Oreochromis niloticus: one gene and its partners. The protein of the gene in region 3 purifies or fractionates together with the protein of the main gene of each other region. This does not show direct contact. Links are inferred from orthologs where the notes say so. Each region holds a gene or a part of one and is shown on either strand. Other genes may lie near its edges.

Region 1 (10,475 bases), about 19 Mb from region 3:
TACATCACCAAGCGCAATGCAAAGCATTGGATGCAGTGGTGTAAAGCATGCAGCCCTTGGACTCAAGAGCAGTGGATTCAAGTTCTCTGGAGTGATGAATCACAATTTTCTGTCTGGTGAGTTGGTTTGGAGGTTGCCAGGAGAACGGTACTTGTCTGACTGCTTTGTGCCAAGTGTAGTGGATAGGGTGGAGAGGGGTGGAGGGGGTTGATGTTCAGGAATTGGGCTTGGCTCCTTAGTTCCAGTGAAAAAAACTCTTAATGCTCAAAACTCAACCTGATAGAACACTTTGGGCTGAATTAGAACAGAGACTGCAAACCAGGATCTCTTGTCCAACATTAGTTTTTGACCTCCAAAATTCCCCAAAACACACCTAAACCTTGTGGAAAAGAGTTGATTCTGTACCTGTAAAAGGTCATGGCTAAAGACGGAAGAAAATAAGGTCACTATATGTGCAAGTATTTGCTGTGAGTCATAGGCTCAGACTTCAGACAGTGTTCTCAGGCTCAGGTTTTCATGCTCTTTGATATATCAATAAGAGTGGATATCCTTCATAACACAAACACAAAAGTCCCATCAAACTGCTGTTCAAATCTTTTGTTTATGAGTGACATCACAAAGGCCAATTAACATGCATACACTTTACTGACAGGGTCATGTAGACATTCAGAAAAAAAAAGTCGATGTGATTTACAGAGTAAAATTGTGGATGTGCAATACATTAAGAAAATAATAAAGATATTGTCAAACAAAAACATCCTACTCTAATCTTTGTTTTTGCACAGTGTATGTGCTGCTCTCCCTCACTGTTGGTTAAACGTATTCAAATGTTTAATGCGTTGCTCACAGATTTTGAGTACTTTTCCTCTGCAGGCTTCCACAACTCCTGCCAGTTCAAAGAAAGTTGCCTTTTACAAAGGTGGACCTTAAAGAGCTGGAAGCTAATGCTGTCAAGCAGGGGCTAAACTGAAGGGCTGCAGAGCTGGTATAGTACGACATGAATAAGGATGGTTTTTTTAATCTTTTAATAATTTAATTTAAAGCCAAATTGAAGTCCTGATAAGCATAAAACTGTCTGCTGTTTCAATGAAATCTCTAACATCTCAGAAGAATTTATGCCATGCATGCCAGAGTTTGCAGGGTTTTTCCTTCATAACTGCTCTGCTCAGCTAACTGCTAAGCTATATGCAAGTACTGAGAAATATCTCACAGGAACAATAATGTTCTGTTTTTCACTGCAACACATCCTCATTTTAGAGCTAAAAGTTTAAAAACAAACTTTTCTTGGCTTTCACTATTTAAACAATACTACTGTTGTTTCACTAAAACCGTTACTTTTTTCTCAGTGTTAAACTATGTGCAACTGTGTTTTCTGTGAAACCTCCAACCATTTCTCCCAGTGAGCTTCCACACCCAGTACTTTCTGCAAAATAGGGAGAATGATGGTTTGACAACCCAATTTTTCTTTGCAGCAAAAAGGTGATGGCCACCTGCCTGTACTCATTGAGTCATGCTGGTCTCCTGGAGCCACGATTGATCAGTCTGTAATACAGTCCTCAAGGGGAGCCATATTGCACCCACTGAACCTGGGATATTATACTTAGGAGAGTTTTCTCACCATAAAGTATGACTTATCACCAAACATCAAAACGAGTGAAAGTCTTTTCTACTGTGAAAAAAAGCAGCAAAAACTAAAATTATATCATCTAAACGTTTATAAGCAGCTAATATCAAGTGTCTTGTAAAGAAGACAAAGAAAAATTCATATGTGATCCAAAAAGACAAAGCATCCAATGTTACCAAAGCATACATTTAATGTGTATTTCGATCTTTGCACCTTTTTATTTGTTTTTCTCCACTAGCTTGTGGCCACCAGAGATTATGGTGCTTGTAAACCTGAACACTTTAGTGCTGATCTATTGCTGATCTGATGGCTGCAGACGCAGCAAACAAGACATTTGGAACATAACAAAATTGTATATCTGATATAAATCATTGCCCTATATGTCAATGGGGACATTGTATTGAGGGAAAAAATAAATTATGGTTACTCTGTGGGTTAGCACTGTGGCAAACTCAAACTCCAGGTGAGAAACTGATTGAATCATCGAGAGGAAGAGTCTGCAAATGGCTGAGCATAGAAGCAGAGCATCCAAATAGGGGATTGCTGCTGTGAAAATAACTCAGTTTGACTTTATGCCATCTTGTCCCGTCCCTAACACATCCATAAGTAATGAAATCTTTCTCTCCTGACACCCAGACTCATTTTAAACATAGGCTGTAGATATTGTTGTCATGTCACAACCCAGCGGCGGTGACTCATCGCCTACTTAACTCTCGAGTCTGGCTGAAAAACAAACTTTGCTGAAAAATGATTTCACCTTGTTTGCCAAATAGCCGTGAATTCGCATTGATTTGCTGTTGATTGATCAAGTAGAGATTAAATACCTTGCCGAGAGGAGCAGTCCGCACATTCATCTCTCTGCGGCGACTGCTGGTGCTTCAGCTCTCTCCCGGCACTTCAGTTTCTACATCTCTCTCCACAAAAGACCTGTTATCATCACAAAGGCACACACACGGAGGAAAAAGCCTTATTTCATTTATCAGTGCCATGAGGATAATGATAGGAGAGAATTAGAGGACATATCTCCCCCTCTGTCTTTATTTCTTTGTCTGCTGCCCTGACAAGAGTTGTTTCTGACCTTAGCAACAACCTGCAGCAACCTGTTTCACAATCTGTCTCCCTTTACTGTATGTGTGTGTGTTTGTGTGTGAGTGTGAGGTTGTGTGTGAGTGAGTGTGTGTCTCCATCCCTCTCAGCCCTCTGCTATTACCGCTAACTACTCCAGGCCACAGTACTTCAGGTATTGATTTTTCCCCTTGTTCATTCTGTCTTTCTATCCCCTTAAAACCACTCCCTTGAGATGGTGTGTGTGAGAGAGAGAGAGAAAGTGTGTGCTTTCAAACAGTTTTTGTTCTGTGGACCACTTTTAGTTTAAGAATGCACTTTCTGGTCACTTTCTAAACTACATTTTGCTTCTTGTTTTTGGCCAAGCATCTACCCCTCTTTTTGGCATGGATGTTTGGATGGATCTGCATTTTTCTAGTTCAGCTGTGAAATCTCACTAATCTTGAATAAATTTCCATTCACAGAGGTCCTCTCAGGTTTTGAAATGCAAATATGTGATTTTATGAAGGTACATGGAAAATCACACACATAAAAACATCTCTCTTTGGGTTAAATGGTACAATTATTCAAACCATCTGAGTTTGAATTTGCTGTGTCTGTGTGAAGACACACTTAAAGCAAACATGTTTATTTTACTTTTGGTAAAAAAAAAAATAAGTGTGCAAAAAGGCTTGAACCACTCTTCATTTCTTTATATTTTTCTAGGAAAATAAGAGATGGATTCAGATGTTTACTGAAATATACAGCTGTAATCATACATACAAATGCAGCATAAATGACAAAAACAAGCTTGGCAGTCAATATTTGATATGTCCACCTTTATTCTTTAACACATTTGACACAGCCTGAACTCCTTTAGGCAAAGCTCATTTAAGTGGCTTCAGGAATAGTTATCCAGACTTCGTGAAGGACACCACAAGGTTCTTTGGATGTTGGCTGATTTTTGTTGTGTTGTCAGTTGTCTAGATGATTCCACACTGTTTTAATAATGTTGGCCAATCCATGACTGAGTGTTTTATTGTGTGCTTTTCTGTCCAGGTATGCTTTTAGTGCATTGGCAGTGTGTTTGGGATCATTGTAATGTTGAAAAATGTGGCCCCTGGTAATCAGACACTTTCCAGGTGCCACTGCATTGCAGATCAAAATCCGATGGTACTTTTCCGAACCAAAACCATTTAAATCAAAACTGAACCAAAGACCTGTTGCTGCTGATTTGCAGTGCAGTTCTTGTGAAATCCAGTATACTCTCTGGGGATCTTGACCTTTGGCCGCGGGGGCTCTGCCTGGGGCATCCCTCCATGGTGTGTGCACACAGTTGTCATCGAGATGTGTGGCCTTGGGTCTTTAGTACTCTCTTGGGCTGCAGATGGCCTGAGTCCCCTGGGTCTTTCTCTATGCCTCTGGCTCCTGGAGGGCGTTGTTGCGCCTTCACACCCTCATTATCAAGTATTTCATCACAAACACAACACACACACACACACACACACACACACACAACACAACAAGACTGTTGGTTAGTGCATGTATTTCTTCACTTTTCAGGTGCTTTTCTTTGGATGTGTTTTCTTACAGGTGCAGCAGTTGGAGACCCATTGCATTTTCCCACTTGTGCTCTGTCCTCTTGCTATCATATTTTTACCTATTTTACCCCTTTTTCCTTGCTATTTTTCTTCAACTCTGGCATTGCCATATTACAAGTGCACTCATGTGAACAATAATAATAATAGAAATCAATAAATATAGAAAGAAAAGACAAGGCAAGCACAATAAGAGGAGCCTACAGAGAGTCTATGGAGCTCATCTTTGAAGAGCAAATGCTTAGCACAACGATGCATTCGAATCCTGATTCTGACTCTGCAAAATCTGCCAGTCCCGACCAATGACTGTACAGGTTACAAAAAGACTACAAAATGTACTGAAGTCTGAATAAAAGGTGATTCAAGACTTTTTTTTACTAATTTTATAATAACTCCCTAAAATACGTATACATGGATTGTTTGTACAATAATGTTAAATTGAACTTTAAATGAGTTACTATTTCATGTAATGACATAAAATGTCCAGAAGATGGAGGCAGAGGGCTTTGTTTTGTGTTATGTGGTAGGAGTGACTGATGGGTTGAAGGAGAGGGTGGGTTTACATCAAGGTCCTTATCTGCTCTCTTTTTTTTCATGGTGGTGATCGACAGGCTGAAAGTTGAGGTCAGGCAGGTCACTAGCGACTTTGTGATCTGTAATGAGAGTAGCGAGCAGGCTGAAGGGCCCTGGACAGGTGGAGATATGCTCAGGAGAGAAGGTGAATGAAAGCCAGTAGAAGCAACACAGAATAGATGTGTGTGAATGGTGAAAGGTAAAGCTACAAGTAGTAGAGACAATGAAGGTGGATGAGTTTAAAAACCTGGACTCAACCATCCAAAGCACCAGACAGCGCACCACAAGAGAGGTGAAGAAGAAGTGCAAGTGGAGTAGGTGGAGGTGAGTGTCAGGGGTCATTTGAGATAGAATGATAGCAGCACAAGAGAAAGGGAAAGCTTGCAAAATAGTAGTGAGAGCTGCTAAGATGTATGGCTTGGATACAGCAGCATTAACCAAAAAAACAGGAAGCTAAGCTGGAGGTATCAAATCCCCAAAGCTGAAGATGTTTACGTCTTCAGTGGAAATGACCTCTATGAACAAGATTAGAAATGAAAACTCTGGACATACACCTCTGATGTTGGAGTCAGTCTTCCAGTTTTGAGGTTACAAGTTCTAATGTTTCTATTTATACTGAAATCCGTTTGCACTTTACCTCGTACATCTGCTCGTTTTAACAGCTGGATAGTGTCGCGGTAAAATCAAACATCTTTGGAGAAACTGACAGGATTTGAATTCCTGCTCAGAGTATGCAGAGTATGGAGCCTGCAGGCGAATAAGAATTCTGTAGTAGTCTCGCTATCCTCTGGGGGGCAGTAAAGCGCCTTAAAGGCATATCTGCCAAAATAATATTAGAAGAAGAAGAAGAAGCTTCTTCGTGGAGGGAATTTTTGTTTGGTAATGTCAGTCTTCGTGAATTTTGTGACACCGAAACACACAGTTTTGGTTAATGGAGTAATATATTGTGCACTTTCTTAAACTGTGAGATTATTTTACTCATTCTGTTCAAGAAAAGGCAGACGGTGTGTTTATACCTGTTGTCACTTTTTGAACGGAACGTGTAGGAAAAAGTCGGTGATTGTAGTTGTAAGTTGGCTAATAAGGATAACGTTACGTTACATGAAACATTAGCCCGCAGCTTTGTAACCTGAAATGTGTAGTTAGACTTGTAGGGTTTTTAAAACTGAAGGGCAGTTAAGTTACCCAACAGTTTTTTTTAAATGTTAAAGTTGATCTTAAATCTGCAATGTTGACTATAACTTTGCACTTTTGCTGTAACAAAACAAATTTCCCACCTGTGGGACTAATAAAGGTCATCTTATCTTATCTTATCTTATCTTATGAAAAGTAGAGCCAATCAACACATATATCTATTTCAACATTTGCTGTAGTAAATATTTTCAGTTCAGCTCAATGCCTGTCGCTGTGCCTAGATAGCACTATTGGTCCTCCAGTAGTATCAGATAACTATTGTATCACTGCCTGCTGTGCTTGTGTGTTTATCTGGTAAAATACATGTAGCTGCTCAGTGTTTTGTTAATACTGTCACTTATTTTCGTTCCTCCTTTCATTGTCTTAGGAAAGTAATGAGTGGACAGGATTCCAGGAGAGGCTCTTCTAGAGGAGGCAGAGGAGGAGGAGGGAGTGGAAGTGGTGGCGGCGGCGGTGGATGGAGAGGAGGTGGTAGTGGAAGTGGTGGCGGCGGCGGTGGATGGAGAGGAGGAGGTAGTGGTGGTGGTGGTGGCGGATGGAGAGGACGAGGGAGTGGTGGTGGCTGGAGAGGAGGGGGTGGAGGATGGAGAGGTAGACCATGGAGAGGAGGATCAGGAGGAGGTTGGAGAGGTGGAGCAGGAAACCATACCTACAGAGCGCAGAGAGGTGAGTTTCTGACACAAACAGTGTACTTTGTAAGAAACCATTAGTAGAACTATATTTTTATTTTTCTGTTGGAAAAATACATGTTACATATTAGTGTTACTGCTATGTCTAAAAACACACAAAAAAAACACACATTTGTGGTTGTGTGGAATGAACAGCTGCAACAAAATAACCAACTGCTCAACTGTCTCTTCAGTCCTTTGTCAGACTACTCTTGATGCATTGTGTCCGTACAAAGGATGGACACTCTACTTCACAGATGGTATGTGTGCATTAATGGGTCCCCGTCACACTGTTACAATAAGTTTAGAAAGACGTCACATTTAATAGTCAGGATAATGCGTCTTTGTCTGTGCCTGTAATCACCATGTCTTTTAATGTCCAGGATTTATAGAGAGTGGACCTAATGTGGAGAAGATCAAAGTGTTTGAGAAATATTTCACTTTCAGGATTCATCTGTTTGACAAGGTTCGTCAGACGAACTCACTGCACAACACACTGGCTCTTTGAGTTATCATTTGTCCATTTGTCACAGTGGCACTACTTGGTGGCCAAGCTATCAGACCCTAATAAGAGACTTAGTATGGGTTTTTTTCCTTTAATTTCTCATCCATCTGTATTATTTTCTTTGTCTGTTTCCATGTCACTTAAAGTGACCTTTGTTTTTGTGTACAGGATGAAATTGAGCGTCAGGGAAGTGTCCTGGTTGATTATGCTGACTTGATTGCAGACAAAACTGTGCGTCACGCACTTCCTGACATAGTCACACAACTGAAACAACAACCAGAGGTGATGCTGAACTGTTTGGGATTGGCTATTCACCAGGTACGCACACAAAAGACCCTACCACACATTTTATGCTAGCGGCATGTTACAATCTTAATGATACATGTTCATATTATAACAAATGCCCAAATTCTAAGTCTCTGTAATTCTAAAAACCCAAACCCTGACTGAAAACTCTCTGCACATCATTCAGGTCTTGACTCTGGATTTGCAGAAGCAAGCTGCTGAGCTGCAAGAGGAAGAGTTTCCTGTTGCTACACCAGTCATCAATATTCCCCATATTAGTGCGAGGTATTTCATTCGGTGAAGAATAATGAGTTGTTTTCCTGACAGCCACTTTGAATGACAATGAATAAGGATGACTGCATTTGTGTGAATCACCCGCAGGCTCTATAACTATGAGCCACTGACTCCACTGCGGATGTTACGTGCCAGTGTGTTTGGCCGGCTAGTTTGTGTGAAGGGAACAGTGGTGAGAGTGAGCAGTATTAGACCGCTATGCACCAGGTTGGCCTTCAGGTGTCGGACCTGCTCGACCACACTGTCTCTGGCTCTGCAGCATGGGAAATACACTACACCTACCAAAGTATGTACACGCACACTTACACGCTAACTTTTTTCTGCAACATTCTTCCTGTACTTAAAGGCTGTAAGTTATAATGTATACATGCATATGGCTTTCCTGTCAGCATTCACACATCTCTTGTTTGTGTTTTATAACCTAGTGCGGAAAGCCTGACTGTCGCAGTCATACCTTCATCCCCATCCGCAATTCTCCTCTTACACAGACTGTAGACTGGCAGATCATCAAGTGAGTATATCATGTACAGTGAAAAACTACAGTAAGACATAGCTAACAAAAATGGTTGTTGCAGTTGTTATTTGAGAGCGGGAAAGGATGCCATGTACTGATATCTAAATGTACATGTAAAAATACATGAAAGCTCCTCCGAAGAAAAGCCTTTCTGTTGCATGTATTTTTGAGGTATATACAGCATGTCCGTAAACTACTCTGTTGCCGGTCCATATTATAATCACCCTAACCCAGGGGTCCCCAATCTCAGTCCACGAGGGCCGGTGTCCCTGCAGGTTTTAGATGTGTCCTTGATCCATCACAGCTGATTTAAATGGATAAATTACCTTCTCAACATGTCTTGAAGTTCTCCAGAGGACTGGTTATTAGCTAATCATGTGATTCAGGTGTGTTGACCCAGGGTGAGATCTAAAACCTGCCTTAACCCCATGTCAATTACATTTAATTTTAAGTTGATTCATGAAGAATCTTTGTATGCAAGTTATCATTCATTTATATTAAGGGATTTTACTTTTTGTTTTTTTGCTTGTATTATTTAGTGTGTACCTTTTACTGTGCATCTGTGTGTAGGTTTTATGTGTCACTCTGGACTTGTTCTTTGCACATTGTGCTTTATCAGCAGTTCACAGATATGAAGTATTGTCTTTAAAGGTCACATCTCATGCAAATAACCTTTGTCATGAATCCCTGATCAATTTAATTTGAGTTATTTTGTGCCACTTCAGGGTGCAGGAGTTGATAAGTGGAGAGCAGAGGGAGACTGGACGAATCCCACGGACAGTGGAGTGTCACCTGACCTCTGACCTCTGTGACAGCTGTGTGCCTGGAGACACTGTTACTGTGACAGGGATAGTGAGAGTTAGCAATGATGGTACAAAAACACACATTCTGATCATTGTGAAAAGTTAAGCCAAAGAAATGCCGGTGCAGTCTCCAATTCGAAATATGTAGTGAAATATTAAAAATGTCTCAACTAAATCAAGCATTTATTCAACAAAAACTCTAAGCCTTTGAAGTTGGAGTTTGCTGGAAGAAGTGCCCTCCTACGTAGACATCAAACATAGTTTGACTGTGTTTTTTAGGTCCAGGCACTTATAGAGGAAATAAGGATCAGTGTATGTTCCTCCTCTACATTGAAGCTACTTCTGTCAGCAATACAAAAGGTATTCTCTTTGAGATCTTCACATTTATATTAATAGGCTTTAGTCTTAACTATTTAATGAACTGGAACTTTCTCTAAATATGTAGGCAAGCAGTCCAAGATGGGAGGTCAAGGTTCAAGCGGGACAGTTGAAGATCGCTGTGGTGGGGAAGAGTTCAGTCTGAAGGAACTGTATGCTATTCAGGAGATCCAGTCACAGCCTGACTTGCTGCGACTTATAGTGCAGTAAGATGATTACCCACTGCATTTAATGCAGCTACCCAGTTTCATGTAGTATTGTTTTAAGAGTTATCACAGTGTCTATGTATTTAATTTTTGTCCAAACAATGGAGTTTGAATGGTATGGTGATGAGTCAATTTTAACAATTTAATCTCAAGTTATCTATGAAGTTAGCTTGATTATTTATTTTATTTTTGTCAGGATTTAGAAATATAAAATTCTTCAGTCATCCAAAAATGTACTTTTTGATGATGATGGCATGCTACTACTGCAAATCAACATGTTTTGACTAATTGCGTCCACTTGTTTTTACAGCTCTTTGTGTCCTGTCATCTACGGCCATCTGGTGAGTTCCGCAAGACTGAGTACACTAACAAGCTTTTCATTAGAAATTACTACTTCTTTCCCGTCAGGGCTCAAATCAGCGGATCGTCTAACTCCATCTCACCCTATCACTAATATCATCCTCTGTCATCCCATCTGTTTGTCCTCCTTCGCTATATTCATGAACTTTCTCCATGAATCTTCCTCCTTTGCTCCTGCCTGGTAGCTCCATATTCAGTATCCATCCAGTGTATCTACGGTCTCTTCCCTGTCCAAACCATTTCAACCTCCCAATCACTCCCAATGAAAATCCGCACCCTTTTGGCTCTGCCTTGCTTTGTCATGCTCTTCAAACCATATACATTATACTTAAAAGTAGTTTTCACTACCAACTAGTAAACCTTGCCTTTCACTCTTGAGCTATCCTTCTGTCACAAATCAGCCCTGACACCCGACTCCACCCACTCCAC
Region 2 (10,713 bases), on a different chromosome or scaffold from region 3:
CAAAGCCATGGCTGAAACACACAACATGTTTGTTGTTTTAATAATCGGACAAAAACGGTCTCATCTCGCGGTCCTAGTACGAATGAAGTACCGGCTCCTTCCTGTTCGCGGGGGTCACGGTAGCGGTGCATCCTGAGCACGTGGTCCGAGATCTCACGATCCTGCTCAGGGTCCATCTGATCCAGCATGATGAAGAGGAGGTCAAAACGCGACAGCAGCGAATCCTGGAGGCCGATGTTCTCCATGGGGGTTTTATACTGATCGTACTGCAAAAAAGGGAAGAGCAGAGTTTTCGTTAAAGGTCTTGTCCAAAATTAACTAGCAGGCAGAGACAGATGTGGGTGTGGTCACGCACTCGGCCGTAGACGGGGTTGGCAGCAGCCAGTACAGAGCAGCGGGCATTGAGACGGGCGTGGATACCGGCCTTGGCGATTGTTACACGGCCCTGCTCCATCACCTCGTGGATGGCTGTGCGGTCCATGTCGGACATCTTGTCGAACTCGTCGATGCACACCACGCCGCGGTCCGCCAGCACCATGGCCCCAGCCTCTAGACGCCGCTCGCCTGGCGGAGGACAAATGTTGGTATTGAGCAGGGAGAAATGCACTTACAGCAGGTGTTTCCACGTGTTTAACACGTTAGCTCATGTTAGCTCATGCTAACAGGGACAAACAGTGTAGCTAACAGCACATTGCTCATGTGCCACATCCATCGTCACTACAACAGGCAACACAAAGCAAAGATGTAAAACATTTTCTGACTACAGTAAGACCTGACATGGTGGAGGCTCGCTGTAATGTAGCTGTGCTGGCTGCACTTACAGAGGTCCTTTACTTGTTTAGGTCAAACAAGATTGGGGGACATTAGTTACCCGTCTCCTGATCCGTGGTGACGGCAGCGGTCAGACCCACACCAGATGAACCGCGTCCAGTCGTAGGTATAGCTCGGGGTGCTGTGTGGAGAACGTAACGCAGGAGCTGGGATTTGGCCACCGATGGGTCACCTGGGAAACACCAACACACCATTACCCCCACCCCAATCAGAACTGAACTACCATCATGTCCACGTGTGAGTCCTTGAGTTTGTCTTTGTCTCTTCAGTCAGCACAGTCGTACAGGTAGCCATTCCCTGTGGTGTACCACAAGGAACAAGTCTAGGTCCCTTTTCACTGGTGTCTCTCACAGATACTGATTTATGGCACAAACACATTTTATTGTTCAGTTCTACCAACTGCATTGGTCAGGTTTCCCTCTGCCTTTTGTCCATGAATGTAAAGCTTGTAGCCAGAAATTTAGAACAATTTGAGTCACCATAAAAATTTGAAGAGAGTCCTGAATTAAACCAACGCTCTCACACTTCCACACTTGAGTGCTACAACTCCAACAGCTACTTCAGAGTGTAGCTTCTTGCAGGGTTTACCATTGCCCCAATCCAATGTGGGTTTTTTCCTCTTCCCACTGCTTTTTAAAGTACATCTGGCTTTGGCCAGAAAGCTCCAGCCAGTGTGCAGCTGTGGTTCCTAAACATGGGGCCCTTCTCCCTGTTCCAAAGGGAGAAATTAAATGTAGAGTCGAGCTTGCTTGTGCCTCAGGACTCGCCTTTGGCCTTTGGCCTGAGGAGATAAGACTTTCCTTTGCCGTTTCATTCATTTGAACTCTACTTGTATCGGCCACATTGGCCGTTGTGTTTTGAACAAACTGGTTTCATAGGTGCCGTATAAATAAGAGCTAGGACGATGTCCTCATACCGATGAGCAGGATGTTGATGTCTCCTCTGATTCGCGAGCCGTTCTCGAGGACCTTCTCCACGCCTCCCAGCAGCATGCAGAGGATGGCCTTCTTGATGTACTCGTGGCCGTGGATACTGGGAGCCAAGGAACGTGCGAGCTGATCGAAGACATCCTACAAAGGACGAAGATTTAAAGGGTTTGGTTTCACATTTAGTTAGGATGACTCCTCCACGTGTGAGAAGGCAGCCAAGATGACTCACTTTGGAACGAGTCCGACTGAAGTTCCTGATTTTGGCCACGTCGTCAGCAGTGAAGCACGGAGACACCTCCTTGCTCATTTGTTTGATGTGGCAGGCGATCATGATGGTCCTTTGATGAAAGGAGAAGGGACGGGTTAGAAGACAAATGGTAGGCAAGTGAGGTAAACCCATTAAGCCCAAGTTATTCCAGCTGACCTGAACGTGCCAGAGGTGAATCCTCCCTTCTTGCCAGGCAGACAGCGGTACGTCCCAACCACCTGCACCCGGTCTCCTGGTTTGACTGCATCCACCAGGTCGTTGTCCAAAATGATGTCCACAGAGCGCGGAAGCTGGCCAGCGGGAGCTTTCTCAGGCATCTCCTGCACTGTGATGGTTTGGTGGTCCTTGTAGATGGACAGCCCAAACTCTGTCTCCAGAGGATTGTTCTCTTCGTCCTATGTCAAGTCAAACAGGAAACAAGATAAATACATAAGTATAAAGACAGCGGTCACCCCCAAGTCTACAGAGAATGAGGCACATTTACCTTGGTGGGGTAAATGGCACTGGAGGGGAAGGCATCCAGGGAGGTCAGGTCCGTGTACTTCCTCTCCATCGTCTTCTTAGTGGCTGGACAGTAGTGAACGCTGCGCACTACTTTGGGACGGACGAGGGAACCTACAGGGACGAAGCAAACAGGAGGCATTAACATTTCACATACTTTCATACAGACTTTGTAAAACTTAAAGATTACACGAATAAATAAAGCCAATAAACTCACACTTTGTAATGATGCCCTCCACACAAACCATGCTGCCCAGCAGTCGGGAGGTGAGCGTTCGAGGAGAGACATGCTTAGATCCAAAGCTCCCCTCCAGGCCGATGAAGAACTCCTCGTACTGCTTGGCGTAGGTGCCGTCAACAGAGGCCACCAGGTCCTTCAGGGCCCGCTGGAAGGCCAGCAGCTCTTCAAATGCATTGTTCATCAGTCTGCAAAGACAAACCATGGATTTTATTATCAAGGCTTTCAGCGTGTTTTCAAGGGCTATGACATCCTGTACTCACTAAAACCGAACCCCCCCCCCTTTTTTCTTTTTTTTTTTTTTTATTTACTCAGTATGGAAACAGGAATCAAGCTCAAAGGTTTGACAACAGGAAGAAGAATGTGTATGAATCAAGTCTGGTTTTGGACATAAAGTAAAGCTGCGTTAAACCTGTATTCTTTCTGCTGGCCAGTAGGGGGCAGTGATCCTTCAGGTCTCAGAAAAAAAGTCTTAGTATTGAACTGTATGGCAAACAGCACTTTGGCTTCAGTATACACTTCCCTGCTGCTTGTTTCAAGTTATACTGAGCACAAAATCATGATCATTTTGTAAATCATGGTCCCATTCAAAGCCCGAATTAACCTGGATGTGTTTAAGAGGTCACCAGTCTGAGCATCCCTCAGTTTTTCCAGCCAGATTCAGCCTTTGCTCCTTATAACAAGTTTCAAAAAAGGTAAGTGAAGCTCAAAGGCTCAGTCTGAGCCCAGCTGATGGCTACAGCCATCTTTAAATACAGTCTGTGGATATACTATTTTGAAACCTGTTGAGTTTCTAAGTAAGCCTCAGCACGAAGAGAAAAACTCAGCATGTTTTTCCATCTAAATATTCATTTTTTTAAAAACAGTAAAGATTAATGGAACCATTCAACATAACATAATCACAATGTTGTAGGGAGGCCAACTGCCATCAACTATGACGTCATTTTGGACATTTCAAACCTTTTCGTGGTAATAACTCAGTAACACTGCTCTCTGTATCGGACCAGTACCCGTTTGTGTATCTCAAGCAATAAGCCAAGCATTGGGGGGTGAAGCAGTCCTGCGTGTGGGGCCCAGCACAACTTCGTGTGCGCCATCAGCCAGTTTTCCTGTCTTACTTTGCAGCTCGGGCCTCGTTGCGTCTCCTCAGGTCGTTGATGTTGACGATGAGCCGAGCCTTATTCTCGCTGATCATGTCCCGGACTTTGCTCTGATAGATGCCCTGGTCTTGCTGCAGGTATGCACAGAAGAAACGGGCACACGTTTGATGACGTCGCTTACCGACTAAAATTACGAGTATGACTGAAAAACATCAACTTTGAAAACAGACTTTTTATACCTAATATCTGCAATCTGACAGCAGCATTTTTTTTTCTGTACTATACCAAATTACAGCTCTTTTGTTGTGACCGCATGTTTTGTCATCTCAGCTCCAGACAAAGACTTTAGGCGAATTTAATAAAAACAGACTTACGTCGTCGTCCAGAAAGTCCAGGTAGTCCCTCTGAGCCTCCCTCATCTCCCGGTCATCTGCCACGTCGGTTGCCATTATGCGCGCTTCGTTATTGTTACTGAAAAGTCGGTAAAATGCCGCACAGCCTTCCGCTCCGACTGCTCCGCTTCAGTCAAGCCGCACAACTGAAGGGTTTTCGCGCCACTACGTACCAGCCGCGAGCTCAGCGTGACACTCGATTGGTCAATTCGGCACGCACCGCTTTACATAGTCGGCGGGTAAACGTACAACTGTCCAATACGGGCCTCGTGTTACCACGTGACTCCGTCCCCCCTGAAAAACTCCCGCGAAAACCCATCAGGAAGGGGCTGGCTGCTAAAAATGAACAAAAGGGATTTTTCATGATTGCCCAGCAGATGGCGACATAAACACATGCCTACATTTTTTTAGTGGGACATTTATTTGAAGCTTTAAAAAATAAAGCAGTTGGTGTCAAATATATAAACATAGCAAGACTTTTAATAAGAAGAAAGACAAATGGAGCATGCATGTGTTCTTTCAAATTAAAGTTACATTTCACTCTTCCACTGATAAACATTAAGCATTCTTTCAGACAATCTGCATTTAATTAAAAGTTTTCATATAAAATAGGACCGAAAATGAACAATAATAACTTGCATACATACTGTGATTTTCAGTATTTTATTTTTTTATTTTTATGTGGACATCTCCTGTGCTTTGACCAAACATTATAGACTTCAAGGAACTTGATGGTTTTCATGATCTGGAGTTTACATTTTGGAAAAATTCATTAGCTCCAATAAATTTATTGAAGAAAAACATCAGCTCAGTTTGAGGAGGTCATACGGGACCTTTTCTCAGATTTGACTGATTCTGTGTGTAATGACTCTACGCTATAGTCCTCAAACATAAAATATAAAGACTGTCACGGACAAGAGTCTATTTGGATTCCACTTCCATTCACAGTGTAACTAATCGTTTTCCCCACTGTAAGTGGAAAAACATGTCATGTCCCCCTCACTGTGGAAGGTTAATGTCTTTACCAGTTGTTTTGCCTGCTAGTTTTTACAAATACCTTCTAATCTGCACTGCTTTGCATTTCAGGCATGAATAACATGTTTTATCTATCATCACAGACTGTTTTATGTCTTTCATCAGCATCAATATCCATCTAAAGCCTTTAAATTTCATTTCACCTGCTATATTTGGTCCACTATGCAATCAGGAATATCTCATCAGCATTATAATCAGAATAATTACTTTTTTCTTTTTTTAATCCGAATGCCCATTACTGGCATCATGCACTGACTAATAGGTTCCCAAAAGATTATCCTAAATTTGGATCATGCTATTGTAATTATTCTCCTGTGATCATCATTTCCTCACCAAAATCATTCACTGTTTCTTAAGGGTGAAATTTTGCAGGAATCATTTTAGTGCTTTTGCTTAATATGTTGTCAAATTACCAAAGTGTGGTCAGAAACCAAAAACATGTTTGTGGGGCACGAGGATGACACAACGAATTCTGAGCATCTCGCACGTCATTTCTGCAGAATTCTTCATCTTTTTCATTTAATATTATCCCTCCAGTGTAAACGTGGGCGTGATTCCCTGTTCTGTCCTATTTTTTGATTGCTTGGTTTTCAGTGAGTTTATAATTCCATCTCACATCGGGCTGTTTTGTGTCTTTTGTCTGGGGAAGTTACCAAATGTTGACGTGTCACTTGTCTCAGGAGGGCTTCTGCTCATGTTCAAACTTTCTGCACACTGAAAATACACCACACGCTTCTGTGTTTGGGGACGAGTTTAGGAATCATGCACGTCTCATCTGTTTTGTAAAGGCTGAACACAACATTAGCTTAGGAGAAGTTAGCAATAACACTGAAATACTTCATTTCCACGGATGCTGTTTTTGCCCGGTCTCTTTCTTGCTGTTGAATGACCTCTGACCTAAATTGAGGTGAGTCAGGCCTGCAGCTCTTTAGATATTTTTTTTGGTTCTTTTGTGACCTCCTGGATGAGTCGTTGATGCTCTTGGAGCAACTTTGGTAGGCTGGTTCACCACTGTTTATAGTTTTCTCCAGTTAGATTTAGCCTTAGAAAATACTTTTTAACCTTTGCGTGTTAATGACTTTCTTTAGGTGATGGCTTGACGTGGGGCGATTACTGTTTCATATAGGGCAGGTTTGGATAGCATTTTGTTTTTCCTTAATAAATGAAATTATCATTTATAAACTGCATTCTGTTTTTGGCCATCTATGTTAGTTTGATGATCTCAAACATGTGACAAAAATGCAAACACGAAGAAATCAGGAATGGAGCAAATACTTTTTCACAGCACTGACTGTAATCCCTGGAACTTCACACCTGTGCTCCGAGGCACAGGTGTGGAAAATGTTGCTATAACCGACTCAGCATGATCACATGTAGGACAAAGAGTTAATGTGAGTGCAACTCCCTCACCAAGTAAATACAATAATATATGTATAAGTGGTCTTATGGTCTTGTTACACTCACTGGTTAGAGTTTGGGTGTGAGGGATAAACCATCATAGACATTACAAAGGTGGGAAACATGGCACTTAAATAAATCTAAATAGAAATCTCATATGTCCTGATGGATGAATCAGAACAAATGAAATAATAAGGTCAACTAATAACAGCAAATGAGACCTGATTTTGGTTAAATATGTTGGCCACATATAGTGGGACATGTGATCACCTCAGGTTACCAGGATACTGTCACATTCTCATTACCTCTGAGTGCACACCAAAGGGAAACCGTCTTAGTGCAGTGTGCAGTGCAGAACAGTAGATGGAGACACATACGTGCATGTATACGTTAACTTTGACCTCTATCGTGTCACCATTACAAGGCTTTGGCCACGATGTGCCTTCAGTCGCTTAAACAGTTGTTATCAACTTAATAATAATTAATGATTACAAACAAAAACAATCCAGATAAAAAATAATAACAACAAGCTACGCACGTGTTTTAATAAGTGTGCCGATAAACTGGTCTTCTAATGAGAAGGTGAATGCAAACACTGCGGACACACTGAGCTCCGGAGAGTAACAGTCACAGCCCTCAAAGCGTTGGTGACTGCATTTGAGGGCGTTTCTGGTCACTTTGACCCCGCCCACCCCTCCATTTCTCCGGCCTCTCAGGTTAGTAGTTTGAAGCCTTTTCCCTCCGCCCTGCAGTGTTGGAAACATCTTGTTAAACCAGCATGTGGTAGTTCCCCACCTGTGTTTGTATGAGAAGAAGCGCTGCTGCACACCTTTTATTCCACCTTCTTGCAGTGACGCGTGAGTCCAGACGGGCAACGGGTGTCCTGTGGTGCAGGTATGTTTCTTTTTTCTGTCGTCATATAAATATATGTATGATGGAAGAAACGCGGTCTATTTTTTCTGTGTGGCTCATGGAGCTTCTCCGTTTTAATGTTGAAATAAAAGACGGGAAACCAACGTGTTACCCCTCTTTTTTTAATGCGTAAAAAAGCGCACGTGCGGCCGGGGTTACCTTGGACAAACTTGAATGGGCTCCTAACATAAAGCGGCTCAGGTCAAAAGGCCCTTCGGAAGCTCTAAATGGGTGCCGGTGTTCATGGTCAAGGGGAAAAGAGGAAGATTTTAGCTGTTATGTCACCAGCAGAGAGGGGCGCACCCTTTTAGGAGGAGATCCTGCTCCCATCCAGAATGCAGCTTCACCACAGGTGGGTGATGGTTACAGGTTTGACTGCATAGCTGCTTTTCCGGTGCACATGACACAAAAAGAGAAGAATGTCTGGCTTACATAATTAAAGGTCTCCTGTTGGCTGTTTTTCTTTTGGCGACTGAAAGCTCTTAATTGGAATGTCACAGGAGTCCAAGCCTGGACCAACAGTGGAAACACTGTGGACTGCAGCGGCTTGGTTTCAGGGTTTTCCAGCCCAGTCTCTGTTGGCATGTTTTTGGCTGGTTTTGTGAGATTTTTGATCCCCTCAACACAAAAATGTCCCCGTCGTGGGATCAATAAAGTCTTATCTTATATTTTGTTTTGTATCTTAGATTTATCCCCACCCTCCTGCCACTGATCCACAGCGCAGATTCGTGCATCTAAAAATTCAGAATGTGACATCAAAGCACACCGCGTGCTCCTGTGAGGTGTAATTTAACGTGTCGAGTCCTCTGCTTTAAGGCCTGCATTAATCTAATCTCTCCCACAGGGTGCTCTGTCCTCTGGTTCTTCATCGTCAAGATGTCGACTGAGGTTTTGCAGCGGCTCAGCACCATAACACTGAGCACCAAGCACCTGCGTCGTCTCCCTCACCTCTCAGACTTCCTCCCTTTCTCTTTACCATCACCCAGCCCCACCGTCACTGCCTCCCACGTACCCAGCCTGTTCCGGGAACCCTACATCCTGTCAGGATACCGTCCTGTCCAGCAAGACTGGCGCTGCTATCTTCTCAGCCTCTTCCAGAAACATAATGAGTCCCTGAACGTGTGGACCCACTTGCTGGCCGGTCCTGTCCTGCTGCTCCGCTGGTGGGCCAATGTAGACACCCTGGGGTACACCTTGGATACGGCCTCGCTACCTCTGCTCCTGTTCTTGGTGTCATCTCTCACATATCTGTACCTCAGTGTGGCGGCTCATCTCCTGCAATCTCACTCTGAACGCGCACACTACTTCTTCTTCTTCTTGGACTACGTGGGTGTGGCCGTGTATCAGTACGGGTGTTCGCTCGGCCACTATTTCTACGCGTCTGAGCCAGCGTGGCGAGAACGCGTCGGGGTGATGTTTCTGCCTGGCGCCGCCTTCTTTGGGTGGCTCTCCTGCACCGGTTGCTGTTATGCCAAGTTTAGGTACAGGCGGCCATATCCGCCTCAGCGTAAAGTCTGCCAGCTGATCCCCACCGGCTTAGCGTACGTGCTGGATATCAGCCCCATAGCCCACCGCCTGCTCACTGTCTCCTGGTCACAGGAGCCCTCGCTGCCCTTCCACGCTCTCCAGATCGCCTGCTTCCTCTTGTCTGCAGTCTTCTTCTCTTGCCCCATCCCGGAGCGCTTCTTTCCAGGCCACTGTGACTTTGCAGGCCAGGGTCACCAAATCTTCCACATGCTTCTGTCCCTGTGCACCTTGTCCCAGCTGGAGGCTTTGTTCCAGGACTACGCCCAGCGGAGGGATACAGTGGTGGAGTTATTTGGGGAGTGGCAGTTGTGGTGGGCGTGCGTATCCTTCCCCGTCCTGTTAGTGTGCTGCATCCTGACGGCGCTGATCGCAGTGAAGCACATGAGCAAGGCACTGCAGAGTAAAGACGAGTGAGAGCGCAACAAAGAAAAATCAAAGAGCAAATCATCATAATTTTAATATTAAAACCAAGTCATGTGTTTAAAAATCCATATATTTACTTTTGTCTATAAAAATAAAAAAATGTATCTTATCACTGAAATACTTGAACAATAAAATACTCTCAAACTTCTTCCGGTCTGGTATATCTGAAGGTTTAACTGCTGATTCATGAAAGAAATAGTTGCCATAATTTGCTAACTACAGCTGAGTAAAGTTTTCCACAGTGAGTCACCCTCCCATGATACTGATCACAGAGGCTCAGAGTAATCCAGTAGCACGATAACCTAAAATAGTCTCTGGATGCTGTTGGAAACGTATCGAGAACAACAAACATTTATACTGTAGATCACGTCCAGAGAAGATCAACTCGATGCGCTTTTGTCCTCGTCTGAAATTCACGTGAGAGACCAGAAACATGATAAACTTTGGAGGTTGTGTGGAACGGGCTGTGAGTGACGTGTGTTTATAGGCACTATAATGGAAGGTAAACACTATATCTTGTCGACCCTGTTCGTTCCCATTGAGGAAACCAGGTTATTGTATCTGAGGTTTCGGCCATTCTTTGTTCCGCTAGGCCGACTGTATGTCGAGCACTTTAAGGCTGCGGCCACACCTTTTGTATCTATTATGTGAAGAAAGTTTCCCCCTGTGAGAGTTTACGAGACGGCCCAGAATGGGAGCCAGAGTCAGGCTCCTTTTAAAGGAATAGTTCAACATTTTGTGAGGCTCTTCTACTCCAGTTTAATTAGAAAATTCATGCCGCCCTCATTACTGTCAGCTTATCTCAAAGAGGAGGGAGGGAGTCGATTTGACTTTGTCCAAAGGTAACAAAGGTCAGCTATCAGGTTGAATGAGTCACCACTTTATATGTGGTTGTTTGACTTCTTAGAAAAGGATCGTGTGAATGAAAAGTTGCGGTTTTAAACAGGGTTATGTGCTGGACCCTGGCTGGTACGGTGGTTTCCTCTAGTTGGGTTACTTTTAAGGTTGAAAGTCTATGTTTAGCAGCAGTGAACAATATTTGATTCCTTACCTGTATTCATTTGATTGTGAGTGCACTGGCTGTCTAGCATGTAGACTTGTCTGTGATAGGTTAGCTGATTGATCTCTGTCCCAAAGCAGATCCATAAAGACTCGGTGC
Region 3 (10,875 bases):
GTGCCAAAAGTGTCTCTTCTTCAAGTTGTCAAGTGAAATCTAGACAACCCCAGTACTCAGGCTTATTTAGCAGAATGCTATGCAAATGAGATTACATTCAGCTATCTCATTTACATCTGTGAAAAAAAAAAAAACAACCCTGCTGCGATACTTATTTTTGTAGCAGGATTATGAAATATTTCCCTGGATGCTTACTGGCTTATGATTGGCATGTAACATACACGAGGAAAAAGAATGAAGAAACTTGGAGGCCTGCTACTCTACTGTTTGTCCTTACAAGCACTGTTGTCCTCCGAGGTGGCGGCAGAGGGCAGCAGGGGGTTGTTGTGCTGCAGCTGCTTGGCGTAGAGCATGTGGAGGCGTGGAACGAGCGAGGCTGGCGGGCAATGCACCCTCTGCTCCTCCGCCGTCTCCATGCACTCAGTGGGATCCACCAGGCTTGAAGAGGCGTCTCTGTACGGAAACGTCAACAATGAGAAACAAACTGAGCGGATCAGGGCAGGGAGGAAAATCAAAGTATGTGTCTTACTTCTCGTCGGCTAAGGCGCTGAGAGCGGGACTGACGGAGAGGATCCCGTAGACCTCAAGCATGTCGTTCAGTTTGAAGCTGTCCCAGTCCTTGTAGACCTGCCAATGATACCCACATTATAGCATGTGTCCTAAAACTCTCCTCATGATAGCTATATAGTCTCTAAAATCACCTCTTTGTTCAAAACGCTTCAGTACAGGAAGAGGAATAAACTGACACAGCACACCTTGACTAGGCAGGAAGGGCCTTTCTCTCCCGGCAGGGGGAAGTTGAGGTCGAGGTGGGAGGCAGATGTCGTCTGGCTGGAAGGAGCTTCTGTCTCCTGCCGCTTACAGTCGCCGTTGCCGTGATGTTCTGTGGGACTCTGAGGACCTGCAGCGAGGAAAAATAAAGCCATGCTGATAAAGTTCGTCCTTGACCACGAGATCTACAGATGAGGACAAATTTATTACCCCCTAGGAAATTTAAAGTCGTTGTCAAAATTCTCCCCAAGTGCTTTTTAAATAGAGCAAAGGATTTTCAACATAGCATTTCTAAACATGCTATTTTCTTTTATAAAGCACAAGTTATTTCTATTTGCACAATAATGCGAGGAAAAAAGGAGTCTAGACGATGCTCACAAGGCAAGGACGGATCCACAAAGTTATCAAAGCGTTTCAAAAATGACAGTAATGACACAATTAAATGATGTAACTGATCAAGAGCAGCTATAAGTTGGGCCTTATGCTAACGCTCTGAACACTCGTACCAGCGTGCGCTTCCCTCTGCTTCTGTGGCTGCGTGTCCATGTCGTCCATGTCGTCGTCTTCCTCGTAGCTTCGTTTCTGTCTGCTTGGCACGTACGAGGTGGAAGGCACCACTCTTGCTTGGCTGCTGTTGGCATACCTGTGCAACAGAGTTAAGGACAACTCGGAGCAGCAGATCGCAAGATAAAAATGCACATTTCACGAATGCCAGCTGCGTAAAGAGCGATTCTGTGTGGTCTTTTGCAAGCTGAGGATATCTCTTTGACCCAGGGGTTTTCTCCAGGGATTGGCACACAGTAGAAAGTCTGTCGTTCTGCAGTCACGGTGTTTTTAGAGTTAAAATCCACCTGCAGATAAAACACTCGTTAACAACCAAGTTGGAGCTAAAATGAGCCATCTATAGCGAATGAGTGTTTGAAGAGACTCACCCCGCATTCTGTCACGTCTTTATACTTCCCACATCGCAACGTCTGTGAAAGAATAGACAGAAAAAGAGGATGAAAGATGAAAACAGCTAAGAGCTTATCAAAGGGCTGTACTCATACCAATAACAGCAGACGAGAGGATAAAGAAGTGCGTACTTTAGCCTGTGTGGCTGGATCGACAGTCTCATAGACTCCCATGTAGAACTCTGGATCAAACATGTCTTGGATGAAACAGCGAAATTTCACGAGGCTGTTGGGCTTCAGGTAATGCATGGGGATGTCGTTGAGAGATGGGACCTGCATCAAAGTGTGCAGAAACAGATTAGGAGCCTGACTTTCGTGCACATGTTTTTGTTTAAAGTGTAATTTGTATTACCAAGGTGTGAGCGTCCTTCTCTTTCAGCCGATCTTTGAAGAACTCCACGGCTCTCGCCTCCCAGCCAGAGTTTGGATCACTCTGGGAAGCAGCTGAAATATCAAGAAGGCCTAATGTTATTGGCAAATCAAAACTCAAAGTTGGATAAATGGTTGTTGTAGCGCAAAATTAGCTTAGCTGGGCTGCATTAGATAAAAATGTTCCCTTTCAAGCCTCGCTCAGTGTCTCACTATGGAAAGCGCCCTCTGGTGTGAGCAATCACCACAGACCAATCCCCCAACCCCTTATAACAGCCCCCGTCCCCACACCAGGCATTTTCAAAGTACGTCCTCGCAAAGATCAAAGGTGCTCCTCCCACTTGTTTAACCTTTTGCGTTCAAAACGGTCTTAATTTTTTATGGCACTGATTCAAAGTGCTGGAAAGATTCCTTGGAGATCTTGGTCAATATTGACGTGACAGCATCACACAGTTGCTGCAGATTTGTCAGTCATGATGTGAATCTCCTGTTCCACCACAGGCTGATGTACACCGTGGGCAACAACACTCAGTCTGGCTGTGGTTTTTAAATGATGCTCAGCTGGTACTAAGGGGCCTAAAGTGTGAAAATAAGATATCCCTCACACATCATTACACCACCAGCAACCTGAAATTGGTGATACAAGGCAGGACGTAGCCATGCTTTCATGTTGTTTATGCCAAATTGTGATCCTACCATCCAAATTCTGCAGCAGAAATCAAGACTCAGGCTGACCCAATCTTCTAGCTGACAGAAGAAGCGTTCTGCTGCTGTAGCACATCTGCCTCACGGTTTGACATGTTGTACATTTACAGATGCTCTTCTGCAAATCCTAGTTGTAACAAGTAGTCATTCGAGTTACTTTGTTGCGTTCCTATCAGCTCAAAGCAGACAAACCATTCTCCTCTGATCTCAGACATCATCAAGGCATTTCCACCAGACAACTGGTCCTCACTGGATATTTTCTCTTCTTCTGACCATTTTTCTGTAAGCCCTAGAGATGGTTGTATGGGAAACTCTCAGTATATCAGCAGTTTTTGAAATACTCAAAGCAGCTTGTCTGGCACCAACAACTATACCACATTCAAAGTCACTTAAAACCGTTCATCCAATTCTCATGCTCGGTCGTCTTGCCCATGTCTGCGTGGTTAAATGCACTTGTTGTTGCCATGGAACTGCATATATTAGAGAGATTAGATATATGTCTTACTGAAGAGTTCAACAGATGTACCTAATGATATGACTAGTGAGTGTATAAATGTAATATGAAGAGCAAAGAAGTGAGACAGGGTAAAGAGAAAACCTGTTATAATGTAGGGGTGTAGAAGGAAAAAATAGATAAAAGATTTACCAGAAATACATGATGCAACATGTCTAAAAGATATAAGCAACTTTTATTAATCTTAAATATAACCGCCCCACCAGTGACACGTAAATGTCAGTCCTTTAAAATTTTAAGGAATATGTGGATTTTTCTGTATATTCTTTAAAATCCGTCTCGGTCTTGATGTGTGGCGCTGGCGTGTGTACAGTTACTACACAAAAAAGTGTAAGAAGTCATTTGCTTTTTCGAAGAGAAAGAAAAAAGAAACCACACACAGCCACCTGCAATGTGCAAAGTTGGCATGGTACGTAGTCAGAGAGCTAACTAGCTAGGTTCACGCGTTAGCCCTACAGAGTGAAGTTCCGGTGTCTTACCAAACATCCCCTCAACAACACCAAAGGGGTCGTTAATCCAGTCATGTGTGGAAGGCATGGCTTAGATGGTGATAAAGGTCCGGAGATTAGAAAATATATCAAAGTAAAATCACAGTGAAAACACCAGTTTGTTGACTTTCCCCATACACGGGATCGCTGAAGTGAAGGGCGGGAAATTTGCGTCACAAGACGCAGAGCGTAGTGGGTTTGTTTTGGGTACGGGGACCAACCGGAGCACGGAGGTGTTACTCGTCATAACTCTTCTTCAGGATAGGCTGGGTGTTTTTCGTTTGACTTTAAATTCCTGTTCTAGTGAAGAAAAAAAAGAAATAGTCTTTAATATAGAGCTACTTCTATTTTTTAAAGATACAGTTTGTTGTTGTTTTTTATTTAAAAGATTAAAATATTACAGTGTAAGTAATCATCCTGGTCTATAGGTGGCAGTGGTGAGCGAGAGTGTTTGTTGTAGCGTCAACAAAAGAACTGTGGCGAAATTGCCTGCGTGATTTTAGTAGATCTGAATAATATGTGCTACGCTGCTTGTAGTCGTGCAATCTCCGGTTGATGCTTTATAGCTCAGCAAAATCTGCGAGCCCAGTGAAAAAAACAAAAACGCTCATTGGAGAACTGAGCGTGTCCTGTCTGCCTGCTCCGGTAGTGGCTACGTGTAATTCTCGGGGAAAATGGCAGATAGAAAAAATAATAATGCTCCAAACACCAGTGCAAATTTACTATTCAGCGCCGCTCCGGAGTTTAACTTCAATTTGCCTTTCATGCCAGTGAGTCAGGCCACTGGTCCGGCGGTGCTGTCAGGAGGTGAGACGAGATGCCGACTGAGGAAATGTCCAAACATTTGTGGGTTCGTTAGCAAGCTAAGCTAGTTAGCAAATTGGGTTCCCGTATCGCTTACGGGGCTTACTGAGTGTAAAAGTAACAGAAAGAGAAAGAAACCTTGTCCGAGTAGCGAAGCGGTTTTTAGGCGTAAGGTTAGCCTAACTGACAGCGATGTGTTGTGGTCAAACTTGCAGCTGTGTGATGTTTTATTTTGCACGTATGTTTCAGGGTCACAGCCAAAACAGTGCTCTGAGTTAAATGGCAAGACAACGTCCTGTTACAGGAATTTAATGATGCGACATTCTGCTGATCAAGCGCCTGATAAAGATGTTTCCTCTTTTTATATTTTAAGGACTAATCGGTAGAAAGCTACAGCTCTGAGTATATATTCTCTAGCTCTGTGATTTAATGTGTGTCAGATGTTTTTGCATAGATACTAAAACATGTGTTACACCCTTATTCTCCATGTCGGTGTGCAGTAGATGACTCCACTGATGTTGGAGAAGAAGACAGCTTTGTAGGTCAGACGTCTGGGAATGGACATCCCCCATCTACGTTCAGCTACTTCTCCAGTCCCATAACCAGTACTGACCCATTTGCATCCATAGGCCAGTCTCCATGCCCCCCGACAGTGCTGTCTGCAGCCCCGACCACAACAGGACACGTTTCTGTTCCCAGCAGTATCAGCATGGTTCCACCACAACCCCCACCTGCCAGCTCACAAATTAACCCTACTCCTCCGATGTTTGGTAGTGCAGTTTACCAGAGCCCCATGGGGCGTCACACTCCTCCCCCTACCACAATGACCCCACCGCCTCCCCAGATGCAGCCGCAGAGCCACAACCCGTACAGACACACCCCCACCAGCAGCAGAGCTAGTCCTTATATCCCAGCTCCGGAAATCCTGCCACCAACGCACACGCCTCAGCAGAATCCCTACTTGGTCAGCTCACCACCGCAAACGTTCCCCCCATCAGGACCCATGTATACAAAGGTAAGTGTATCACACCGGTGTTGTTGATCACTGGGTTTATTAACTTATTTGGGTAGTTAAATCACATCTTTCTCTCTTCAGCCTCCTCCCACACAGATTCAGGGCCCTCCACCTCCACTTCCAGCCACCACAACTGGAGCCGTCGTTCCTGCTGTTCCCATGATGCCGTACAACTACAACGTCTATGAGCCAGTTCAGCCTCACTGGTTCTACTGCAAGCAGGTGGAGTCAAAAAGCGTCTGGCTTCCTTTCAGTATCTTTGACTCCCTTCAGCTTGAGGAGACGTACAACTCTGGTACGACAAGACAAATTGCAAATTTGTCTTTGGGGTCCTGAGAATCTCATCTTGACCTGAGCTGCACAGTGAAGTTTTTTTTGTTTTTGTTTTTTTTTTTTCATTCTTTCAGTTCAACCAGATCCAGAAAGTGTGATCGTACGCACGGACGGAGGGAGGTATGACGTGCAGCTTTATGACCGCATACGGACTGCAGTGTACTGGGAGGAGGAACCTACAGAGGTCCGACGCTGCACCTGGTTCTACAAAGGAGATACAGATAGTCGCTTTATTCCTTACTCTGAGGAGTTCAGCGATAAGCTCGAGGTTTGTCTCAAAAATACTGTTTTTTTAAAACCCTCTGCATTGTTCTTTATTGGTTTAGTTTAGGCTGCACTGTTGTAAAAGGAAATTATAATATTGTATTATTGCATCATCTCTAGGCTGAATATAAGAAAGCTGTGTCTACCAACCAGTGGCACCGCAGGCTGGAGTTCCCCTCAGGGGAAACTATTGTGATGCACAATCCAAAGGTAAACCCTTGTTTGATTATTGTGCTGTAGCGGTCTGATGATGTAATTGGCTTTATAGTTCATGAGCATTGATCTGTTTGCCTTTGTAGGTCATAGTGCAATTTCAGCCCTCCTGCGTACCAGATGAGTGGGGCACAACTCAGGACGGGCAGACCAGACCCAGAGTGGTGAAGAGAGGGATCGATGATGACCACGATGAAGTGCCTGATGGTAGACAAGTTCCGCTGTGCTCAAAATAATTTGCTCTAAGTGTAAACACAGTTTGTATCATCCACTAAGTGTAATTTTAGGAAATGGAAAGTATGATAAGGTATTCCAGAGGCATTAGAAGGATCATAATCAGTTTTTTTGATAGCTGGTTAGGTGCTAAGTGAAGTATAATGCAGCCTCATTCTGACTGCAGTTCACATTTTATGCACATATTTAAGATTAGAGACAAGTGACCGTGCGCACCTCTTTCCAGGTGAGCTCTCAACGGTGGATCATCTTGTGTTCATGGTTCATGGAATTGGCCCCGTGTGTGACTTGAGATTTCGGAGCATGATTGAGTGTGGTGAGTAATGAAGTAATGAGCAGTCACACTGCAGCCGTGTAACGATGTGTGCGAAGGAAACGTTAAAAATGCTGTTTTGTCGTGCTTTCAGTGGACGACTTCCGTAATGTGTCGCTGAAGCTGCTGCAGAGCCATTTTAAGAAATCCCTGGATGAGCACGCTATCAGCAGAGTGGAGTTTTTGCCTGTGCAGTGGCACACGGCTTTACATGGAGATGCCACAGGGGTGGACAGGTGAGGGGGACAAATGTTTAACACCAAAGAGGCCTGACACACATGTGGTGATATTATAAATAGCTCCTGTCTGGATGAAAACACTGGAGCTACTCTCTTATTTTAAATTGACATTGTTTATCACCTGGAAATCCTTCATCATTACTCAGAGATGGGTAAACAGAACATTTATCAGATACTGTCATTATGTACTGGAGATAATTGGTGGCTCAGTTCACCAGACATCCTTGCAGGACCTTAACAGACTTATTTCTTGTTTGTCTTTGCAGGAGGATAAAGAAGATCACTTTGCCCAGCACCGGGCGTTTACGTCACTTTACCAATGAGACCTTGTTAGATGTGCTTTTCTACAACAGTCCCACTTACTGCCAGACCATCATGGACACTGTTGCTCAAGAGATTAACCGACTCTATGCCCTGTTCATGGAGAGGAACCCGGACTTCAGAGGTGCAGTGTCAGTGGCAGGACACAGCTTAGGTAATAAACATGTTTAATCAGCTTCTAACCTTTCTGTTTTTTCCACCATTACTTAATTTTTCTGCATGTTTCTTCTTGCAGGTTCTTTGATTCTCTTTGATCTGCTTTCAAATCAGAAGAATGCCTCACCCGGAGGGGCCATGCCAACCATGCCTGCTGCTAACGGAGAGGTCAAACAGGTCACGCCCTGGCTAATTTAAATAAATTACAATATACTGTAAAAATAAAACGAACACCGTGCTCTTTTCCGTTTATTTGTAAATGAGATGAATATTTTCAGAATAAAAGTTCAGTATGTAATTGTAAATTTTTTATCCTCATATCAGGTGACGGCCCCCGTTGCACAGGAAAATAGTGCCGTCACGCCTCCAGCTGTGGAGGAGCAGCCCAGAGAGGATGGGGAGGAGTTTGAGGATCTTGCTGCTATGCTGGAACATCTGGGCCTGTCTGAATACAAGAGTACCTTTGATGAGGAGAAGATTGACATTGAATCTTTTGTAAGAACACAGTCCACCTTTTATTTTACAGACTGCTGTGAGTCAAGATGTGTTTTAAAAGTATAAGAAATCTAGTTATAAATGTAAACTGTATAAGGTCATTTGAGAACATCTGGGGTTTTATGCGATATAATGTAATTCATCTTATTCTGACCCTTTTATATTCTCTTAGCTTATGTGCACGATTGAGGACCTGAAGGAGATGGGTATCCCACTTGGTCCCAGGAAAAAAATTGCCAAATTTGTCAAAGAAAGAGTGAATAAGCAGGTAAGTTTGTCTGCTGAGTATCTGCGAGGCTTGCAAAAGTTATTGTGATTATGACCCCACCCCCCTCATGGTTTCATGTTCACAGGCTGCACGTCAGGCAGCTCAGGAGAACAAAAAAGAGGTCAAAGAGGTCACTCAGACTGCAGCACCTCCACCAGCAGCTGCAACATCAGCAGCTGAAGTTCCCTCTCATCCTACTGTGAAGAAGCTTCCAGTGGGCAGCACCGTCTCCTCTGTCCATGTGGACTACAATTACTTTGAAGTTGGAACGGGGCAGGTAAACACATCTGTCTGTCAGCAACAATGAGCTGCTATTCTGAAGCAGAGCTGGCTGACATTTAATCAATCCTCTGCAGGTGTCTGTCATCTACCACACTCTGGACTTTGAGCCTGTGAATTTCTTTGCCTTGGGTTCTCCAATCGGCATGTTCCTGACTGTACGAGGACTTGAGAAGATCGAAGAGGCATACCAGCTGCCCACATGCAAGGGATTCTTCAATATTTATCATCCAGTATGTGTTTGTGTAACATGTTTTATTGTTTCTGGGTCAGATTTGTACGTTATTCTGGTGTGCACGGGCATTTCATTCACTAGGCTAATGGTTTAGACTCTAATTTTAATAATGTCTTTCAGCTGGACCCAGTGGCTTACAGGATTGAGCCCATGATAATGCCAGACCTGGACTTGAAGCCTGTTTTGATCCCACATCACAAAGGACGGAAGAGGCTTCATCTTGGTATGGACCCAAACACTCAGAGCAGAGCTGTCATTGTTTTAGTCACATATGAGATTAAGTTTCAAGCAAAAGCAACAAAAAAAAACAGTTTTTAACTGTGAATCCTGACAGTTACAGATACAGAGTTAATTACTGAACCTAAACTAAACTGTTCAGTATTTTTGGCCTCTCTGCCACTTAAGGGTGGAGCGCCCCAATATCTGCGGTTAACAGCACAAAGACTCTGTTCTTGCACTTCAATTGCTATGAAGCAACGTAGTGGCAAATAAAACTGATTCGTTTTTTCCTTGGCTGTGCAGAAAAACATTAAGGTGACGGCAAAATTAAGTTTCTCGTGGTGGTTGCTTTTTTTTTTTTTTTTTTAGTTTATGTAGGTTTCATTGGTTTGGTGGAAATGGGTTTAGGCGTGATTCTGTGTGTTTCAGAGCTAAAGGAGTCTCTCTCCAGGATGGGCTCTGACCTGAAGCAGGGCTTCATCAGCTCCTTGAGGACTGCCTGGCAGACCCTCAATGACTTTGCTCGTGCTCACACCTCGAACGCCCAACTTCAGGCCCAGCTGGCCATCGTGGCCAATCAGATCGAAGAGGAAGAAAAGCAACAAGTGCACGAGGGTGAGTGCGGCTCAGTTGTGAGTCTTCGTTTGACTATTTTCTGTACTGTGTGAGATCAACCGTTTTGCTCTGGTTTGTCACAGAGCATAAGATTCCAGACAACCCTGAGCTTCAAAAAGAAGACGACGAGTCTCAGGTGAAGATCGGGATGTTAAACGGAGGGAATCGCATCGACTACGTCCTGCAGGAGAAGCCCATCGAGAGTTTCAACGAGTATTTGTTTGCCCTCCAGAGTCACCTCTGCTACTGGTACAAGCAATCTCATATTAAAGACCTGTTTGTAGTTGCAATTTGAATGGAAACTTGAGTATTATGCAGCCGAATGACACCGACTGAAAACTAAGTCAGTGTTTTTTGGTATCAATTAATAATTTAAATATTTCCTATGTGGAAAAATAACAGGTTTGGTGGTTTCAGCCTCTCAAATATGTGAACTTTAATAATTTATCAAGTCCTCATGAGTAGTATTTTGGTTTCATGAAAAAAAAAGACTTACTCTTCTGTGGTATAGGTTTTTTTATTCATTGCTGATTTTTAGGCCCTTTCCTAACAGTACATTCTTGCCTTGTTTCCATCAGTACCTTTTCAGCTCGACTTGATTCAACTTAGTTGTGATAGTTTTTCATTAGGTGGTAGTACCTGGTACTGGGTGCTACCTTCTTTAGCGCCTGCTCAGCTGGGGTTCCAAGTGATCAGTTAATCCGAAAATGTGAAATCAGACTGCACGCCACCGATAGGCCAGACGATGGTGTCACTCGATGAGTCATGAGAGTGACTCCTTCACAAAAATCCAAACCACCATTTTTGAAACCTGGCAACGAGGAAAATGGCCGCAGAAAAAAACAACACTGTGGTTCCCGAGTCTGACAAAAAGCTTTAATGACCCACGTGGAGGTGGTACTCAATTGTAATGGAAAACGACCGCAACAGAATCGAGTTGTGTCGAGTAGGTACTAGTGGAAAAGAGGCATCTGACACACCATAGTAGAAAAACTGTACATTTAAATGATGGCGAGTTACGTCTGAAGTCCTTTAAGCTGCTTCAGTGACTGCCTGAAACCTGTGTATTAAC

Evidence for each region.
Region 1: the proteins of mcmbp (region 3) and mcm8 purify together in Homo sapiens (co-immunoprecipitation; 3 studies listed by BioGRID and IntAct, with this or other methods). This does not show direct contact. The link is inferred for Oreochromis niloticus from reciprocal best matches to the Homo sapiens genes MCMBP and MCM8.
Region 2: the proteins of mcmbp (region 3) and mcm3 purify together in Homo sapiens (affinity purification with mass spectrometry; 10 studies listed by BioGRID and IntAct, counting the BioPlex papers as one, with this or other methods). This does not show direct contact. The link is inferred for Oreochromis niloticus from reciprocal best matches to the Homo sapiens genes MCMBP and MCM3.

What each region holds. Positions count from the first base shown.
Region 1 is NC_031978.2:5,992,830-6,003,304, reverse strand, and holds the start of mcm8 (DNA helicase MCM8), read left to right. Parts: upstream 1-5,653; 5' UTR 5,654-5,718; exon of another isoform or gene 5,719-5,907; intron 5,908-6,400; 5' UTR 6,401-6,407; coding exon 6,408-6,699; intron 6,700-6,895; coding exon 6,896-6,961; intron 6,962-7,084; coding exon 7,085-7,167; intron 7,168-7,374; coding exon 7,375-7,524; intron 7,525-7,678; coding exon 7,679-7,776; intron 7,777-7,872; coding exon 7,873-8,071; intron 8,072-8,210; coding exon 8,211-8,296; intron 8,297-9,024; coding exon 9,025-9,170; intron 9,171-9,381; coding exon 9,382-9,462; intron 9,463-9,547; coding exon 9,548-9,686; intron 9,687-9,996; coding exon 9,997-10,027; intron 10,028-10,475. UniProt on the Homo sapiens protein: Component of the MCM8-MCM9 complex, a complex involved in the repair of double-stranded DNA breaks (DBSs) and DNA interstrand cross-links (ICLs) by homologous recombination (HR).
Region 2 is NC_031980.2:534,188-544,900, reverse strand, and holds the start of mcm3 (DNA replication licensing factor MCM3), read right to left. Parts: upstream 4,476-10,713; 5' UTR 4,317-4,475; coding exon 4,242-4,316; intron 3,999-4,241; coding exon 3,886-3,998; intron 2,956-3,885; coding exon 2,747-2,955; intron 2,644-2,746; coding exon 2,513-2,643; intron 2,424-2,512; coding exon 2,185-2,423; intron 2,099-2,184; coding exon 1,990-2,098; intron 1,902-1,989; coding exon 1,748-1,901; intron 1,004-1,747; coding exon 872-1,003; intron 565-871; coding exon 356-564; intron 267-355; coding exon 92-266; intron 12-91; coding exon 1-11. Other genes in the region: paqr8 (membrane progestin receptor beta), read left to right, coding at 8,481-9,545. UniProt on the Homo sapiens protein: Acts as a component of the MCM2-7 complex (MCM complex) which is the replicative helicase essential for 'once per cell cycle' DNA replication initiation and elongation in eukaryotic cells.
Region 3 is NC_031978.2:25,389,373-25,400,247, forward strand, and holds the start of mcmbp (mini-chromosome maintenance complex-binding protein), read right to left. Parts: upstream 3,988-10,875; 5' UTR 3,850-3,987; coding exon 3,792-3,849; intron 2,169-3,791; coding exon 2,077-2,168; intron 1,998-2,076; coding exon 1,857-1,997; intron 1,746-1,856; coding exon 1,704-1,745; intron 1,623-1,703; coding exon 1,533-1,622; intron 1,417-1,532; coding exon 1,278-1,416; intron 902-1,277; coding exon 756-901; intron 628-755; coding exon 530-627; intron 454-529; coding exon 278-453; intron 1-277. Other genes in the region: sec23ip (SEC23-interacting protein), read left to right, coding at 4,475-4,607, 5,105-5,619, 5,701-5,914, 6,027-6,220, 6,337-6,426, 6,516-6,636, 6,890-6,979, 7,071-7,212 and 9 more. UniProt on the Homo sapiens protein: Associated component of the MCM complex that acts as a regulator of DNA replication.